Xenopus tropicalis: one gene and its partner. The protein of the gene in region 1 interacts with the protein of each later gene in a pairwise test. Links are inferred from orthologs where the notes say so. Each region holds a gene or a part of one and is shown in the gene's direction. Other genes may lie near its edges. The genes, in order: kifbp and dok2.

What was found.
Region 2: the proteins of kifbp (region 1) and dok2 interact in a two-hybrid assay, tested with the Homo sapiens proteins (2 studies listed by BioGRID and IntAct). The two-hybrid records come from large-scale screens. The link is inferred for Xenopus tropicalis from reciprocal best matches to the Homo sapiens genes KIFBP and DOK2.

The regions. Positions count from the first base shown.
Region 1 is NC_030683.2:39,061,392-39,064,438, forward strand, and holds the end of kifbp (KIF-binding protein), read left to right. Parts: intron 1-913; coding exon 914-1,792; 3' UTR 1,793-2,362; downstream 2,363-3,047. UniProt on the Homo sapiens protein: Activator of KIF1B plus-end-directed microtubule motor activity. Required for organization of axonal microtubules, and axonal outgrowth and maintenance during peripheral and central nervous system development.
Region 2 is NC_030679.2:129,458,980-129,463,454, reverse strand, and holds the start of dok2 (docking protein 2), read left to right. Parts: upstream 1-1,554; 5' UTR 1,555-2,575; coding exon 2,576-2,638; intron 2,639-4,475. UniProt on the Homo sapiens protein: DOK proteins are enzymatically inert adaptor or scaffolding proteins. They provide a docking platform for the assembly of multimolecular signaling complexes. DOK2 may modulate the cellular proliferation induced by IL-4, as well as IL-2 and IL-3.

The DNA.
Region 1 (3,047 bases):
GCTAGGGTCTTATTGTGCCTAGCAACCAGGCAGTGGTTTGAATAAGAGACTGGAATAGGTATAGGAGGGGGGCTGAATAGGCAGATAAGTAATGAAAAGTAACAACAATAAAGTTCTAGGCTCACATGTCAGTAACTTTTTGCCCAATTGAAAGCTGGAAAGGGGTAGAAGAGCAAATAACTCAAAAACTATTAAGAATAAATAATAAAGACCAGTTCCAAGGTTTCTAGCAATTGGACATTCTGTAACATACTAAAAGTCAATTTAAAGGAACAGTAACACTAACATTTTTCAATACAGATTTTACATCCAAACCCATCTAATAACTAGTCTACCGTAGTAAGACTCCTCTGCCTTAATTTGTTGACTACTAAATACACTTGTGAAATAAGTCACAGTGCTCTATAGGACCTACTAACGTTTGTCTATCGGGTGACCTATACTTTTAAAAGCTGTGCTGTGCACACTGCCTTGACTTATGGTTCAAAGCAGGCGTCAGACCAGTCATCCGTAACAAAGGAAGTTTAGTGGGAGTTTGTGTGCTCCTCTTGCCTTTAGTATTGGGGGGAGGCTGTGCAGAGTGCTGGCCTGTTCGGTGAAGGCTCCGTTCTGACAACATGCGGTCATAAATCCCTCATAAGTCTGCTGTGTCACAACAATATAACCGAGTGCCCAGAGGAGCATGCTGTTAGAACTGAGCCATGACTTTTTATGAAAGCCAAAGGAGACTGTGATATCCTTCTTTGATTTGCAAATTACAGTGGTCCACAAAGGCATAATCCTGCTACATTTTGCCAGTAAAAAGTCCGATTGGACCTGCTGGTGATGTGTTCATGTCTAAAAGGGTGGCATTTCTATTGTGTATTAAAGAGCTCCTATGTAACTGAGACTTTTGTTTTGTCTTTCGACAAAGGACAATATCGGAGAACTTGATGTAGACATTCAAGAAGAACTGAAAGCACAGAGACAAAAGGAAGAAGATGAGAAAGAAAAGGACAGAAAGAAGGCTATCCTGTTTGGGTCAAGCGATATATATGATTCAGTTCAAGCAGCAGAGGAAAAGGTTGAGTGTTCACATCCATTAGATTTTAAAGAAGCAAGGGAGGTGTTCCTTGTTGGCCAGAATTACATAAATGAATCAAAGGAATACTTTCAGCTAGATGGGCATGTCACTGACCATATAGAAATAATCCAGGACCATAGTTCTTTGTTTAAGCTTCTCGCCTTCTTTGAGGAGGATTATGAAAGGCGATGCAAAATGCACAAGCGTAGAATAGACATGTTAGAACCTTTATGCAAAGAGTTAAACCCACAATACTATCTTCTAATCTGCAGGCAGCTTCAGTTTGAGCTGGCAGACACCTCTTATGAGATGATGGATTTAAAGGTAGCAATAGGTAATAAACTAGATGAAATGGACACTCACACTATCAAAAAGATCAATAGTCTAGCACAGACAGCCATCAAATACTATGAAATGTTTTTGGACTCGCTAAGAAGCCCAGACCAGAAATTTCCTGAGAAACTCGAAGAAGATGTTCTCCGTCCTGCCATGGTGGCCAAGTTCCGCATTGCACGTCTCTATGGAAAGCTGATTTCCACTGATGGAAAGATACAGCTGGAAAACATACAGAAATCCTTAAATAACTACAAATATATTGTAGATTATTGTGAAATTAATAAAGAAGCCATAAAGTGCATTGAGACAGAGCTAGAACTTAGTAAGGAGATGGTGGCTCTTCTTCCTACTCGTATGGAAAGGCTAAGGATTCAGCTAGCATCATTTTCCTGAACAATGAGATGTTTGTTGTAAATATCACATGAAGACTGAGGTTTATGGTCTGTATTTATTGTTACCTCTATTTCCAGAACTAAACTCCTAGTTACTGTATGGTGGTTCCTCTGTCTACCATATATTAAATAAACACAAGCTAATGAGTGAATGTTAGAAAATAGACCTGGAAAATGCTTTAAGAGTTAATACCCCAAATGCTTCCATTAATGGACCAGTAAAAAGGAGGAGGAACAGATAACTTAGAAATATCCAATGCTGTTAAAGGTGACTAATAGCTTATTGCTAATATCTATTGCTGTTAAAGAAGACAAATATTACTAAGCAGGGAAGAAACATTTTAGGAATGTTTTGTGGAAGGCATAATCATTCGGTCTAGCTGGCTGTATTCTCCTTACCAAGCCTTGGCTGTATATACATTTGTATTTAAATTTGTTGTTTGGCATAGATGAAACATTGAAGGTTTAGCGTATTTTGATACATGGAAACTGCTTGTTAGCTCTTGCGCTATACAGATATAGGGAGAATGTCTCAGGAAAGCTGCAGATACATGTTAAAAAAAAAAAAAAACTTGAAGGAAATGTAAACTCAAATGTAGTTGGAATTGCCATTCACTTGTTTCTTTCTAGTTTTTAAGATATTAGCAATTTTTAAATTAATAATATAATGCATTTAAACTAATATCTCCACCTGCTTGGTCATTTTGGCCAGTTGTCTACAGTTACCTACAGTCACCTATTCCAGCAGGTGGTGCTGTTGTTTTACATTCATTATATTAGAAGTTTAAAAACTGCTAATATCTTTAAAATTAGAAACAAATCATGTACATTGGCAAAGGGGCGTAGAAAAGTGCCCAGAGCCATTTTACATTCATTTAAGGATTTACATTTTTTTAAGTGCTAGCTTCATGTACTTAGGTGAATTAATGAAAGCTATTCATTTATGCTGCCCCTACATAAGTTTAAGTTGTTACAATGAAAGTGACTCCACACAAAACCCTCTATAAACATGTTTCTTCATTATATAACATATATATAATATTTCAAATGATTATGTGTATTGCAAATGCTGAATTTTGACCAGTACAGTGCTTGAGTCAACTGTGAATACATGTGAGCCTGTAAGTTGGCTGTGATCTCTCCAGGCTTAGCATACCTTACTGTGTTAATGGTTTCCTTTAATATATTCAGGGGTGAAAGTCGCTGTTACAGGAGTGTGATATGGCTAATGTAATCCCTCACCTTGTCTTATTAAA
Region 2 (4,475 bases), on another chromosome or scaffold:
GAGTTTAGTTGCCATATAGCAACCTGCAACCATGTAGCAATACTTTTTCTCATTGGTTGCTACATCATTTATACTGCATATATCCACTCTATTTGCCAGCACCACCACATTTTCCTAAAACAAATAGCAGCTTTCATCCAGCGGCCATTTTCCCTTTTGAACACATCATCAGTGACATTTAAATCTACAAACAGCACATGTACACAGAGACCTTTATTCCATGTAAATTTCATCAAGAATGCAGGCTAAAGGTGGCCATACTCGGTAAGGTCGCCAAGGGAGCGGATCTTCTCCCAATATCGCCACCTATGGGTGGGCAATGTCGGGCTAAATCGGTCATTCGGCCATGGGGCCATACGATCGAATTAGAACGGCGGGTATAGGCGCCATTGGTTCCGGGACCGCATGAATAAGCCGATGCGGTTCCCTGATCCGACAAAATATCAAACCCGTCGTTAGTGCCCATTCACGGGCCGATAAGCTGACTAATCAGTCTAATGGACCGATATTGGCAGTGTATGGCCACCTTTACACAGAACTTACTCCGGAGAGGAGGTTAGGATCAAAAGTAGGAGCAGACAGCTAGAGCAGAGTTTCTATGGAAACCAGCAATGCCTTCTCTTCATTGGCTGCTAGACTGGAGGGCATGTTTAATAATCTGAGTTGAGAAGAACTGGGCATGCCCAGGAGCCAACAGCCAAAGTAAATTCCTAAGGGAGGGGCTAGTGAGTTAGGAGGGGAAGGAATCCTAAGGACAAGGAAAGGTTAATATAAATTCAAAGTAAGTACTTACTGCATATCTAAATTCCCAGATCCCTGCTTGCTTCTCTGAGATATGGTGCTGGCAGCCTACAGCAGTGTGAAGACTACAGTGACATCACTGAAATCTCTCTTCCCTTCCTGTAGGCTGCCAGCGGCAGTAGCCTTCAGTAGCAATGAACATGTGTGTAACTTGATCCTGTCTCCTGTTCTGAGCTACACATGCCCACCAGCCAATCAGAAGGGGATCTGCCAGAGGGGGAATGAAACACATGTGCAGTATGAAGCAAGGAGGGAAAGGAAGGGAGAATACTTTTATAAAGATGGCTGCCTGTTCTAGAAAACAGATAGAAAATATGAAGTAAGTGTAAGAGTAACTATTTGATTAGGTGAGCCAAAAGTGTGGCTAGGAGGACTAGTGGGCAGTATGCTTTTTAAATTTTGACTTGCATTCTCTTTTAAGGGAATGTTGCAGCCTTACTATTAACCTCTGAACAGCCAGAGTGGCAGGTATTTAAAGATTTTAAAGAGGCTGTTCACTGATTAAATCTTTTTGTGGGGGGTTAATGTGTCATGTAATGTTTATATTACAAGCCAAGTAAATAAAACCTGTTTCGGCATCTGCAAAATGTGAGCATAAACCCATGCATTAAAGAGAAGTCCATTTGTGCTTCATCCATGCACAGTACATTATGCAAACATTAGTGCTCAGAAACTGAAGCACCAAACATATATTCCCTGTGACAGAGTTTGTTTCACAGCGGAAGCTAAAGTGAGGGAGGAACTGAGACCCTGTGAGAGAGGAAGAGAGTGCAACAGTCTGCAAGAAAGAGCTGCCTAGGATAAGAGCTACTGCACGAAAGGGGACAGAGAGAAAGAGAAAAACTGTGAAACTGGGCAACAAGGTGCCACTGGGGTATAAGTGAGGCAGTACGGACTAGACTACAGACAGGCGAGTAACTAGGAGGTGCGGAGGCTACAAAAAGGAGTAAAGGCTACATTAAAAATGAGAAATATATAGTGCAGTGCTTAGAAATTAAAATATGAAGGTGGAAACCACTGATCCTGGAAAATGAGGGAGTGAGGGTGGTAGGAGCACTGTGAGCACTAAGGGGGGGAGGCAGAGAGAGAGTAATGTGACAGGGCAGGCAGGTGGGGAGCTTAAACAGAAGAAGGAGTATTGTCCATTACAGCACAGAAGGATTAGATGGGCAAATGTAATCATAAAATAATTTAGGTGCAAAGGGGTAGACTGCTGTAAGTATGGAATAATAAGTAAGTGGTAGGCTTGGTGGGAGTTTTATAGGATAGCGGAAATCATGTCAAGAGAATTGGAAAGATAGGAGAGATCTTGATTTTGTAGGATAGTGGAAACTGTGTAAGATTGGTTGGGCATGATTAGTAAAGTAGGCTAGATGAAAGAACAGATAAGAGGTTGACAGTCTAGCTGGGAATGTGGTAGGATACAGCTAAGAGTGTGTTTGGTACGATAGCCAAGAGTTTGGTAGGGTAGCTGAGAGGGCGTTATTTGAGTTTGGAAATATAGGCAAGAGTTTACTTAGAAAGCTGACATTATACTAGAAGACTTAGGCCAGAGTTTGGCTGGAGAACTGATAAGGTTCTAGAAGAGTTTAGTAATATAGGTAAGGCATCAAATAGCCGTGAATGAGTTTGGGTGGATAAATAAATGCTTGTTAATATAGATCAGAACGTGTTAGGAGAGCTAGACATCCAAGAACAAGCTGGCATTAGCTGAAAGCACACTAAGGCTGGTAAGAGTGTTTCAGGCTAACTGAAGGTGGCTAGAGGGTCTGCAATGGATGGAGGAATTGTGAAGCAAGGGGCTCTGCACCTGCAGCACCAGCAGCGATTTGGGAAGGTGAGCTTTGTATGCCATAGAAATGAGTACATTTTCCTTTTTCACCTTTTGCTGTTGGGTATTTCTAACATCATATAATATTGCAATGGCCTAATTGTATAATGTAAAATTGCATTTATTTTTATTTTAGTTTCCAAGATTTCAAGACACTAAATTATATATGTCAGTGTCTCCTCTATGCTTATGCCCTTATGTCACCCTATACCTATAAGGCTTTTTGGCAGAGTTTATGAAGTTGGATGTGAGAGGCATAATGGGGTGTGAGTGCGGCCTTACAGGGTGAGGCCTAAACACACACAAAATTTCATGAGTTAAAATTTCTGTAGCTATATTTTAGTTGTAGTCACCTAAAGACTTGTGTCTTGTATGGCAGCTTCAGACGTGGTAATCTATGGGTCGTTATTTAGAACAAAAGTTTTTTAATTTTTTTAACTCCCAGCTTGCTAACAAACTCTTCCTGCAAAATCCACTGGCAGACATGAAAGGCTATAGACACCATCTCCCCTACTATACCTGCTATCCCACAGCCACAGTCCCTTCCCAGAGGCTATTATCCCCCCACTGCTACTATAGACACCATCTCCCCTACTATACCTGCTATCCCACAGCCGCAGTCCCTTCCCAGAGGCTATTATCCCCCCACTGCTACTATAGGCACAATCTCTCCCTACTATACCTGCTATGCCACAGCCACAGTCCCTTCCCAGAGGCTATTATCCCACTGCTACTATAGGCACCATCTCTCCCTACTATACCTGCTATCCCACAGCCACAGTCCCTTCCCAGAGTCTATTATCCCACTGCTACTATAGGCACCATCTCTCCCTACTATACCTGCTATCCCACAGCCACAGTCCCTTCCCAGAGGCTATTATCCCCCCACTGCTACTATAGGCACCATCTCTCCCTACTATACCTGCTACCCCACAGCGACAGTCCCTTCCGAGAGGCTATTATCCCACTGCTACTATAGGCACCATCTCTCCCTACTATACCTGCTATCCCACAGCCACAGTCCTTTCCCAGAGGCTATTATCCCCCCACTGCTACTATAGGCACCATCTCTCCCTACTATACCTGCTACCCCACAGCGACAGTCCCTTCCGAGAGGCTATTATCCCACTGCTACTATAGGCACCATCTCTCCCTACTATACCTACTATCCCACAGCCACAGTCCCTTCCCAGAGGCTATTATCCCCCCACTGCTACTATAGGCACCATCTCTCCCTACTATACCTGCTATCCCACAGCCACAGTCCCTTCCCAGAGGCTATAATCCCACTGCTACTATAGGCACCATCTCTCCCTACTATACCTGCTATCCCACAGCCACAGTCCCTTCCCAGAGGCTATTATCCCCCCACTGCTACTATAGGCACCATCTCTCCCTACTATACCTGCTGTTCCACAGCCACAGTCCCTTCCCAGAGGCTGTTATCCCCCCACTGCTACTATAGGTACCATCTCTCCCTACTATACCTGCTATCCCACAGCCACAGTCCCTTCCCAGAGGCTATTATCCCCCCACTGCTACTATAGGCACCATCTCTCCCTACTATACCTGCTGTTCCACAGCCACAGTCCCTTCCCAGAGGCTGTTATCCCCCCACTGCTACTATAGGCACCATCTCTCCCTACTATACCTGCTGTCCCACAGCCACAGTCCCTTCCCAGAGGCTATTATCCCCCCACTGCTACTATAGGCACCATCTCTCCCTACTATACCTGCTATCCCACAGCCCCAGTCCCTTCCCAGAGGCTATTATCCCCCCACTGCTACTATAGGCACCATCTCTTCCTACTATACCTGCTATCCCACAGCCACAGTCCCTTCC